2 linked regions of the Macaca fascicularis genome follow. The protein of the gene in region 2 purifies or fractionates together with the protein of the main gene of each other region. This does not show direct contact. Links are inferred from orthologs where the notes say so. Each region holds a gene or a part of one and is shown on either strand. Other genes may lie near its edges.

Region 1 (5,841 bases), on a different chromosome or scaffold from region 2:
TCAAAAAAAAAAAAAAACGGAGCAGGTGTTCTCCACTCACCCTCGCGGCCCTGCTGGGGAGCCGACTCCAGGGACACCAATGCTGTGCCCAGGCTGCACAGATGGCCTTGGCAGGTGCGGGTGAGGCAGGGTCCTACCTCTGCAGGGGGACTCAGTCAGTGTCTCGAAGTGGTGGCGGAGGAACTTCTCCTGCTCCGGAGTCTGGGGTAGGGAGCTGCTGGGGACGCTGGGTCCCTCGGGCAGGGACAGCTCATCTTCTGTGGGACCTGCGCATCCTGACAGGGAAGGAGGGGAGGGACAAGAGGAGCCAACACCATGAGTCAGAGCAGACGCCACCTGAAATGGAGAAAGCAGGCCCCACCCATCCCTGCCCTGTTGCCTGCAGGCTGAGAAGCAGGGATCCCCATCTTCCAGGCTCAGTGGGCTCCAAGTGCAGGGCCTGTGCTTAAACACTGTGACTGGCCTTAAGCCAGGCCCGAGCAGCGAGTCCCCTGTGTGTCTGGCCCCTGCTTACCTGGAAAATGGGGTAGCAACGTGGCAAACCGAGGGGCGGGATCAGGAGGCGGAGCTGGGGAGTGGACGGCCGCGAAGCTGCACTCCAAGTCGGCCTCTGATTCCCCCGAGTCTGAAGGAGAGAGCTGGGGTCAGGAGCCCACAGCCTGACCATTCAGGTGAGCCAGGGCCAGGGCTATGCTTCCCTGGGCTCAGTTTCCCCATCTGGAGGAGGGATGATAAAAGCACCCACCCACCATTTTATGAATGAGGGAAGTTCCACATCAAGGAGGTGGCAGAGCTGGGCTCTCAACTGTAGGCAGCTGGGCCCAGAATCCTCAGGCAGCAGCAGGGACCACATGTGTCTTCCTCGACAGACTCTGAGCTTCAGTACTGGGTCAAAGTCACCATCGGTGCCCAGAAAGGGGCCTGGCTGAACGCACAGACTGTCACAGGGTCCCTGCCTTTCTTGCACTCACCCTCAGGTGGGCTCTGGTCCTTTGGGCTGTTGGAGGACACCCTGAGGTAGGAGTCGCCCTGCTGGTCTCCAGGCCTGGCCTCCGCCTCCTTCCCACAATACTGGCTGCAGTGCCAGTGGGGGCAGAGAGGGAACAAGGACTTCAGCTGGAGACTCAATAGCCAGCCCCACCTGGAGCCCCTAGGCACCCGTACCCGCTGCTCCTGCAGGAGCACTGCCTCAGCCTCCCCGCCTCCTCCAAATGTCCCCTCCTTCCCCCAGGTCAGGCCCTCCTGTACCCCACCTGAAACCAAGGAACTAAGGCTGGGCTCCTGCCCCATCCAGGCCACAACTGTCCCCACTCCCACAAGCCCACTGGGAAGGCAAAGAACAGTTCTTCCAGGGTGCAGCTATCAGCTGGGGCTTCCTCCAACTAAAGCTCCCTTGGTAGAAAGGACACCCACCTGTCTGTCCCTGTGACTGTCACTTCTGCCTCCAGAGAGTAGAGGATGAGCTCACTGGCCTCAGATGATTCCCTCTGTTGAGGGAGGAAGGAGGGGTGCCCGCGGCCAGCTTCCTGGGGACTCTCTGACTATGGGGAAGACAGCACAGCCACTCTGAAGCAGCCATGGCTGGGGCCACTGTTACGCCAGGAACCATGGCTGGCTGCTGGAGGCTGTGACCCAGGGCCTGTGCCATGCACTCTGCTCACAACCAGCTTGTCCTGGGCTGCCCCTGCGTTATCAGTCCCTTTATAGATGAGGAAGAGGTGTGGCACCAAAAATAGGAGGTCCAACCCTCTACGTGTCTATTTATATGAAGTTCAATAATAGGAAACCCAGTCCTTGGTTAGAGGTCAGAATACTGGTTATCCTGGTGCAGGGACCTGATTGGGAGGGGCAGAAACCTTCTAGGAGGTAGAACACACTCCAGATTTTACCCAGGGTAGTGGACACATATGAATTACACAGATAGTTCATCAACCTGTATACCTAAAATCTGTGCATGTTACTGGATGTATATTATACCCCAATAAAGATGACAAATTATAGGATAGGATAAAAAGGAATTTTGTTTGGAAAATAGTAGAGTAAGAGCTAAAGTTGCACAGGCACCTCTAAGAGCCCAGGCCCTATGCTTAAGCATGGATTCCTGTAAAAGCCCTCTGGGGCAGAAGAGATTGTTATTACCATTTAAAAGTTTTTTTTTAAAAAAGAAAAGAAAACAAAACAAAAAAATTTAAAAAATATTTTTGTAGAGGTGGGATTTTGCTATGTTGCCCAGGCTGGCCTTGAACTCAAGTGATCGTTAAGTAATCCTCCTGCCTTGGCCTCCCCAAATGCTGGGATTAGAGGTGTTAGTCACTGCCCCGGCCCGATTATGACTACTTTTTAGATGACTGAAGCCCAGAGAGGTAAGCCTCTTACTCAAGGTCACACAACAGGAATGGGTAGGGTCAGGGCTCCATCTACCCAAATGTCCCCCACTTGGGTACAAGCCTGCTCTAGCATCCAAGCTCTTAACCCCCAAGTGACTCACTTTCCAACGACTCCCTGTCTGCCCTGGGAAGTCTTGCTGTGCAACAGTCCTGGGGCTCACCCTCCTACCCTTCACCACCTCACGTAATCCTCCCTGCCCCCATGGAGTGGGAGTCAGCCTGAGGTGCCAGGCCCTGGGGCCGTCACAGTGCCAGGGCTACAGACCAGGCTGGGGTGGAAGTGCGTACCTCACTCAGCAGGCTGGCCAGGCTTTGTGGCTCCAGTGAATCCAGAATGGAGTTCTCCAGACTCTCGGGCTTCATGGGGGTAAAGTAGCAATCCAGGTCCTGGGCATCCAGGATGGTCTTGAGGGGCTCTTGGCCAGCCCGCTCTGCCCAACGGCCGTGGGGCTGGTAGCTGCGCTTGGCATGGAAGGCCGAGCCATCTGGCACATCATCGTCCCCTAGCTTGAAGGATATGGGACAGTCAGGCACCCGGCTGAGTGCTCACTCACTGCAGGGAGCGCCACAGACATTTCACACAGCCAATCCGGGCTCCTGGCTTTCAATACCATTCAGAAACAACTTCCAGGTACGTATCTCCAGCATGAACCTTTCTCTTTTTTTTTTTTTTTTTGTTGTTTTTGAGATGAAGTCTTGCTCCGTCTCCTAGGCTGGAGTGCAGTGGTGTGACCTTGGCTCACTGCAACCTCCGCCTCCCAGTTTCAAGCAATTCTCCTGTCTCAGCCTCCAGAGCAGCTGGGATTACAGGTGCCCACCACCACGCCTGGCTAATTTTTCTATTTTTAGTAGAGATGGGGTTTTGCCATTTTGGCCAGGCTGGTCTCAAACTGCTGACCTTAAGTGATCCGCCCTCCTTGGCCCAAAGTGCTGGGATTACAGGCATGAGCCACTGTGCCCAGCCCATTTTGTTGGTTTTTGGTAGAGGTGGACTCTCACTATGTTGCCCAGGCTGGTCTCAAACCCCTGGGCTCAAGCAATCCTGCTTCGGCCTCCCAAAGTGCTGGGAATGCCCAGCTGGGATTCATGAAATTTTCTCTGAAACTTCAGAATTGCACATGCAATTGCTCTACATCTCTGTATGGATGTCTGGTAGGTATTTCAAAGTTAACATGCTGACAACTCAGCTCCTCATTTCCTCCACACAAACCTGCTCCTCCTAAAGCTTCCCCTGTTTCAGTTGTTTTTTCCAGTTGTTCAGGCCCCAACCTTGGGATCATCCTTCATTCACCTCTCTTACTCTGTCTCTTATAATCCACATTGTCTTTCTCTTTTCTTTTTCTTTCTTTTCTTTTTTTTTTTTGATACAGAGTCTCACTCTGTCGCCAGGTTGGAGTGCAGTGGCGCGACGTCGGTTCACTGCAACCTCCGCCTCCTGGGTTCAAGTGATTCTCCTGCCTCAGCCTCCTGAGAAGTTGGGACTACAGGCATGCACCACCATGACCAGCTAATTTTTGTATTTTTAGTAGAGACCGGGTTTTACCATGTCGGCCAGGATGGTCTCAATCTCTTGACCTCGGATTACACCCGCCTCGGCCTCCCAAAGTGCCGGGATTACAGGCATGAGCGACAGCACCGGCCTCTTTTTTTTTTTTTAAGAGACAAGGTCTTGCTCTGCTGTCCAAGCTGGAGTGCAGTAGCACAATCGCTGCAGCCTCCAACTCCTGGGCTGAAGCAATCCTCCTGCCTCAGGCCCCTGAGTAGCTGGGACTATGGATGTGCACCACCATGCCTGGCTATTTTTTTTTTTTGAGACGGAGTCTTGCTCTGTTGCCCAGGCTGGAGTGCAGTGGCGTGATCTTGGCTCACTGCAAGCTCCGCCTCCTGGGTTCATGCCATTCTCCTGCCTCAGCCTCCCGAGTAGCTGGGACTACAGGCACCCACTGCCATGCCTGGCTAATTTTTTGTATTTTTAGTAGAGACAGGGTTTCACCGTATTAGCCAGGATAGTCTTGACCTCCTGACCTCATGATCCGCCCGCCTCAGCCTCCCAAAGTGCTAGGATTACAGGTGTGAGCCACCGTGCCCAGCCATGCCTGGCTATTTTTAATTTTTTGTAGAGATGGGGGTCTCATTATGTTGCCTAAACTGGTCTTGAGCTCCTGGCTTCGTGGCCTTTACATGTATAGGCTGTTATGACTAGAACATTCGTCCCAGTATCTCCCTGCCTCACTTGTTTCAACTCTGATCAAATATCATTTTCCCAATGAGGCCTTTCCTGTTTACTTAAAACTGCCACCCCCCAACACTCCTTATTTTCTCTATTTTTATTTTTTTTATGAGACAAGGTCTTGGCTCTGTTGCCCAGGCTGGAGTGCTGTGGTGCCATCTCAGTTCCCTGCAGCCTCGACTTCCCTGGCCCAAGCAATCTTCCCACTTCAGCCTCCTGAGTAGCCGGGACTACAGGTATGCACCACCACGCTTGGCTAATTTTTAAATTTTTTGTAGAGATGGGGTCTCACTATGTTGCTCAGTCTGGTCTTGAACTCCTGGGCTCAAGCGATCTACCTGCCTTGGCCTCCCAAAGTGCTGGGATCACAGGTGTGAACCACCGTGCTGGGCCCCTGTTCTTATTCTCTTTTTTGAGACAGGATCTCACTCTGTTGCCTAGGCTGGAGTCCAGTGGTGCCATCTCGGTTCCCTACAGCTTCAACCTCCTGGGCTCAAATGATCCTCCCACCTCAGTTTCCTGAGTAGCTGGGACCACAGAGACGCATCAGTGCACCTGGCTGACGTATTTTCCTTCTTGATTCTTTTTTTTTTTTCTTTTGAGACGGAGTCTGGCTCTGTTGCCCAGGCTGGAGTGCAGTGGCCGGATCTCAGCTCACTGCAAGCTCTGCCTCCCGGGTTTACGCCATTCTCCTGCCTCAGCCTCCCGAGTAGCTGGGACTACAGGCGCCCGCCACCTTGCCTGGCTAGTTTTTTGTATGTTTTAGTAGAGACGGGGTTTCACCAGGTTAGCCAGGATGGTCTCGATCTCCTGACCTCGTGATCCACCCGTCTCGGCCTCCCAAAGTGCTGGGATTACAGGCTTGAGCCACCGCGCCCGGCCTCCTTCTTGATTCTTTTCCCTCCATAGCACTTATCAGCACCCAACATACTACGTCACTTACTTATTTAATGGGGACACTGTTCCTCACCCACACAGGCAAGTGAGCCTATGAAGGGAGAGGCTTTTGTTTCCCTTGTTCACTGTTGTGTCCCTGACATCCAGAACAATGCCTGGCACAGGGCACTGATCATGAACAAAGAGCTGTCTCACTGAGCCTGGAAGGATGACAGGGCTTCTCCAGAGAAAAGAGGGACATGGAAAGGAAAAAGGGCTTCCAGAAGGCAGAGCCGGGGAGGCGTTTCCTCTGCCAGCCCCTGAGCAACCCTCTCCCTGAAGACTTAC
Region 2 (5,771 bases):
AAAATACAAAAAATTAGCTGGACGTGACGGCATGCGCCTGTAGTCCCAGCTACTTAGGAGGCTGAGGCAGGAGAATGGTGTGAACCCGGGAGGCAGAGCTTGCAGCAGTGAGCCAAGATCGCGCCACTGCACTCCAGCCTGGGTGACACAGCGAGACTCCGTCTCAAAAAAAAAAAAAAAAAAAAAAATTTTAACTTGAATCTCTTCAGGCCCTGAGACCTCCATTCCAGTTTTCAGCAAATATGGGGAATAAAGGTCCAAGTTAAGTGGCAACACAATCAGAAAAGTCCTCTTTAAAGTGGGAGACTGGTCTGGCTTAAGACCACAGAGACAATCCAATACAAAGCATGGGCCTTGGTTGAGTTCTGATTTTACAAACCAGCTATAAGATGTCATAGACAATAGGAGAAATTTGAACATGGACTAAATATTAGATACTGACAATGCTGTTAATTTTCTTAGGAGTGATCATGGTTCTAAGTATATAGGAGAATATCCTTATTTAGGAAATGCATGCTATTATAGTGCTTCAGGTTGAAGCATCATGATGTTTGCAACGTATTTTCAAGTGTTCACCAAAAAAGTAGATGCAGCCGATCTGACTAAATGGGAAAAAGTGCTGAACGCAGGCACTGGATAGACAGGTAGGCCATCAACTACCAATTCCACATTTCTATCGGTTTAGGTTTTTGTAATGAAGGTTGGAAAAAAGCTGGGGACAGCAGACACCAAGCCAGAACAGTACGTGTGGTTTCGTATTGCTTTGTCACCAGCTGCTCTTCACCATAGATGCTTACGCTGTCACAGCCCTGGTGCTGTGTTCAGCCAGGCCTGGCACCCACTGAGCACACAGTCACTACTGAATTGTGATGTAGGATTAAGAAGCTACCACTCTGGTCATCTAACCCCTCCATCACCACCAACAGACTGAATCGCGGGTTCTCAAACTGAGGCAATAACCAGGAAATGATGATGATTAACATCTGGGATTCAGAGTGAAGTGACTATCGGTTATGTAAGCAATCTTTTCAAAAAGCAAGAAGCCATCTTTTCTATCACAATTCAACCGGTTAAAATAGTTTAACTCTGCAATTCCATGAAGCCTATAATTCTTTATTCTGGTTTGTCTTAGCAGATAACAGCTCCCACTAATGACAACCAGTTTTTTTAAAAAAAAGACTGCAATAGCAGATTCAATGCATTGCTGGGAACAGTTAGAAGTGCTCTGTAACAAAAGCAAAGGATTTCTCCCTCACATATAATCTGTTTTAGGCTATACTTTTTTTTTTTTAACTAGCTTGATTTTTAAGTCATCTGGCTATAATTTGAGTCCTCCAAAGTTGACAAACCTTGATCGGTAGATGTATGCTTTAAAATGCCCCACTTCACGTGAAGTTTCAAAGCTTATTTAAACTCAAATTTAAAACAGTAAAGATACTGTAGTTCATGTGGAAAGCTCTTTAAGATTTGAATTGTTTTGAGATTGACATCTCTGCTTCAGCTGTGAGAGGGGACAAGGAAGGACTATCCCTACTATTGACAGAGGCAGACCAAAGAGAATCTCTCACCACTGCCCTCAAAGCTCCACCAAACTAATTTGGTGTTTCAAGTTCCCTGATATGACCTGCAGTCTGAGTGCTAGACCTTTGTCGGTGCTGTCCTCTGGAACATCTCCCCATCTCCTCATCCAGGAAGCAGCAGAGGTGAAGAGTTCCTCCCCCTCAACACATGGGCACTTCACCTCTGTCATATACTTGTCCTATCTGTTGACTCATTCATCCCCTCATTAGCCTCTAAGGACATTAAGCATCTTTAACCCTAGGCCTAGAACACTGTTAATAGCCCCAAATCACCACAGAATAAAATTTTCTTGCAAACCCTAGTTTATTATTAAGCCTAAATTACTCCAAGGTACTTCTGGGTTAGCTACATACCCCTCTTATAGCACAAAATCTACACTAAAATATTTTATATTTGGCTCATGATTAGCTCCCAGGGCTCTGGTAAACCAAACAACTTCCACCTCTAAAGTTACATACCTGGAAGATGGAGCATGTACTGACCACCCAAAATCTGCAATTTTAAGCTCTCCAGCTGATCCAAGAAGTAAGTTCTCTGGCTTAATGTCTCTATGAATAACTCTCTTCGAATGACAGTAAGACAAGGCATTTGCCAATTCTGTTATATACTGTTAAAAAAATATTGAAAGCCTGTGTTTTAGATTTTGTATAACACAAGTTAATATTAGACATCTCTTCTGAAAGGAACACAACATAGATTTAACATGGTTTGCAGGTTTTGGCCAGACACAGTGGCTCCCACCTGTAATCCCAGCACTTTGGGGGACTGAGGTGGGAGGATCACTCAAGCCCAGGAATTCAAAGCCAGCCTGGGAAACATAGCAAGACTCCATCTCTGCAAAAAAAATTTAAAAATTAGCCAAGCATGATGGTGTATGCCTGTAGTCCCAGCTACTTGGGAAGCTGAGGCGGGAGGATCGCTTGAGCCCAGGAGGTCAAAGCTGCAGTAAGCCATGATCACACTTCAGCCTGGGTGACAGAGTGAGACCCTGTCTCAAAAAGGAAAAGACAAAACAAAAAACACATATTGCAGGTTTTGAAGCAAGCATCGTAGAAATTATACATGAGTCTACACACACACAAACACACACACACACACACACACACACACACACACAGAATCAACTGAACCAATTTATAGTGGTTAGCATGAAGTGAAATTACCCAATGTTTAGTTATCGCTTTGCTAATACAGTTGGTGTGATGTTGAAAGACGGAAAAGACATTCAGCTAGTTAGAGCTAGCTCTTAGGTTGGTGCCATTTCAATGCAAAACACAGTTACTTCTGCACCAGCCTAACAGTTACACCCCCATACGGCAACAAACGGCCCTGCGGCAAGGAAGTAAGGCAGTGCCGAAGACCTGGTACAAATTAAGGATTCAGGTGTGTAAATACTGCCTTTTTCTTTTTTAGAAAAATAAAATTAACTTTTCAAGTATAGTCAATTCCTTTTTTTAAAACCAAGATCATTCTGTGACAGAATAATTTGTTTAAAGCTAAAAATTTACTTCAAGAATATCAGGAGAAAGAAATTATCCTGAACAATAAACAGAAACTAAAAAGCAGTTGCACTGACATATTAAATAGCATGTTAAATTTTGGGTTACACTAAGTCAGCATAGAAGTACATAAGAAATCAGTCCTTTTGTTAATTTTATTTCCTTAAGTTACTATCTTTTTTTTTTTTAATAGAGATGGGGGTCTCGCTATGTTGACCAGGCTAGTCTCAAACTCCTGACCTCAAGTGATCCTCCCATCTCAGCCTCACAAAGTGCTAGGATTACAGACATGAGCCACCGCACCCTGCCAAGTTACTATCTTGTAAGAAAAGTTTGCCTGGCTGGGCACCTGTAATCCCAGCACTCTGGGAAGCCAAGGCAGGGGGATCACCTGAAGTCAGGAGTTCGAGACCAGCCTGACCAACATGGTGAAACCCTTTCTCTACCAAAAATACAAAAATTAGCCGAGCGTGGTGGTGCATGCCTATAATCCCAGCTACTCAGGAGGCTGAGGCAGGAGAATTGGTTGAACCCGGGAGGTAGAGGTTGCAGTGAGCCGAGATCACGTCATTGCACTCCAGCCTGGGCAACAAGAATGAAATTCCATCTCAAAAAAAAAGCAAGAAAAAAGAAAAGTTTTCCAGTCCCTATCTCTAAGATTTAGCCAACAAATCTAGTATGTATGTATGTATGTATGTTATTTACTTATTTATTTTTAAGAGACAGGGTCTCACTCTGTCACCCACCCTGGATTGCTACGGCATGATCAGACCTCACTGCAGCCTTGAACTCCTGGGCTTAAGCAATCCTCCTACCGAGTAGTTGGGACTACAGGTGTGTGCCACCATGCCCAGCTAATTTTTAATGTTTCTTTCTTTTTTTTTTTTTTTTTTTTTTGTAGAGACAGAGTCTCCCCATGTTGCCCAGGCTGGTCGCTAATTCCTGACTTCAGGTAATCCTCCCATCTTGGCCTCTCCAAGTGCTGAGATTACCAGTGTGAGCTACCATGCCTGGCCCAGAATTTATTTTATCATACAGGTAACTGTTTGAATATTGAAAAAATATATTTAGCTCTGCCTAAAGTTTGAGTTTCCTTTCTAAAGCAATTGCTAGACAGGATTGAACATTATTTTACATCAAAAAGGTTTACTAAACAGATAAGTAAACACCAAGTGTCACTGGCAGAAAAAACACTTTTCATTCTTTCAGTCCAAAGCCAGAGATCAAAATTCAGACCACGATAAACTGAAGTCAAATACAAGAAAGCTGCTCTTCTGACTACACCGACTTTGAGTTGCTGATGCTTTAATTGCACACATTAAAGTTCAAGAGGCAATGGACTTCACTCCTCCAGTCATTTCCAGACAAGAAGCTATTAGTTTCGCCATGGCTCTCTGGCACTGCTACTCCCTCCACACCTCACATGTTGTTAGACTGCAGGTATGGATAGGTCACTGACGTGTCACTACAATTAGTTTTATTTGAATTCATCTGAAAAGGAAAACAGGTACATGCGTATTCATTCTAACTGCAAAGGAATCTAGACAGAAATAATCTTTCATTTTCTTTCAAATAGCTATCTGCTCACACCAAAACTCCATCTAGATTGAAGCCTTGGGTGTGAGGAGAGAAAACAGAGAAGTAGTATCATGTGTAATTTTATACTGTTGAGATAAGGTGAATCTTTTAAAGTAGGATATCAATATCAGAAACTGAAGAAAAAGATTAACTGACCCAAAACAACAAACTCCAACCCACCGTAAGCAAGATGACAAGGAAAAAACCCAAGGGTAAAATGTGATCACCTGAGGCAGTCACTACCATGAATGAGCACAGATTTCCTTATTGAGCTGTAAGAGAAAGCTGGCCCAAAAGCTGAACTCATAAAGAAATATTAATTGCCAATTAAATAAGAAGTTGATTTGTTTAGCTAATATTTAAAAAGTAAATTAGAGATCTGTTTCTACTTAGGAGAAGCACAAACATTTAAGATTAAGTCTTTAAGTGTAAAACAGCATGTCATTGTTGCAGAGACAAGACCAAAGGGCCATATGTCCATAGTAGTGTGATTTCATCAGATACTGAAAGTAAAATTACTTGATTTTAAATGCCATGTACATCAATGCCAAAAACAAAGAAAACTAATGTCCACGCTACCCAGAGATCTCCACCAAGAAACGGAAAAAAAATCAAAGTAACCACCATCCAACATGCTTTATCAAGCTGTCAATCCAATAAGAAACGGCCCAAATTAAGACTCAACTTCTTAAAACAAGTAATTTTAATCACTTAAAAAAGGAGAGGCACAAAAAGCACAATCATGAAAGAAAAAACTGACACATTTGGACTTTTATTAAAAATACAGCCTGGGAGGCCGGGTACAGTGGCTCACGCCTGCAATCCCAGCACTCTGGGAGGCTGAGGTGGGCAAATCACCTGAGGTCAGGAGTTCGAGACTAAACTGGCCAACACGGTGAAACCCCGTCTCTACTAAAAACACAAAAATTAGCTGGGCGTGGTGGCGCACGCCTGTAATCCCAGCTACTTGGGAGGCTGAGGCAGAACTGCTTGAACCTAGGAGGTAGAGGCTGCAGTGAGCTAAGAATCAAGATCACGCCACCGCCCTCCAGTCTGGGTGACAGAGAAAGACTGTCTCAAAAAAAAAAAAAAAAAAAACCCAACAACCTGGGC

The links. Proteins that work in one complex are often made in the same cells at the same time.
Region 1: the proteins of AURKA (region 2) and WDR62 purify together in Homo sapiens (affinity purification with mass spectrometry; 3 studies listed by BioGRID and IntAct, counting the BioPlex papers as one, with this or other methods). This does not show direct contact. The link is inferred for Macaca fascicularis from reciprocal best matches to the Homo sapiens genes AURKA and WDR62.

The regions. Positions count from the first base shown.
Region 1 is NC_088393.1:43,339,501-43,345,341, reverse strand, and holds part of WDR62 (WD repeat-containing protein 62), read right to left. Parts: intron 2,895-5,841; coding exon 2,676-2,894; intron 1,542-2,675; coding exon 1,414-1,541; intron 1,076-1,413; coding exon 972-1,075; exon of another isoform or gene 750-971; intron 626-749; coding exon 515-625; intron 276-514; coding exon 138-275; exon of another isoform or gene 41-137; intron 1-40. UniProt on the Homo sapiens protein: Required for cerebral cortical development. Plays a role in neuronal proliferation and migration.
Region 2 is NC_088384.1:112,406,718-112,412,488, forward strand, and holds part of AURKA (aurora kinase A), read right to left. Parts: intron 2,189-5,771; coding exon 2,040-2,188; intron 1-2,039. UniProt on the Homo sapiens protein: Mitotic serine/threonine kinase that contributes to the regulation of cell cycle progression.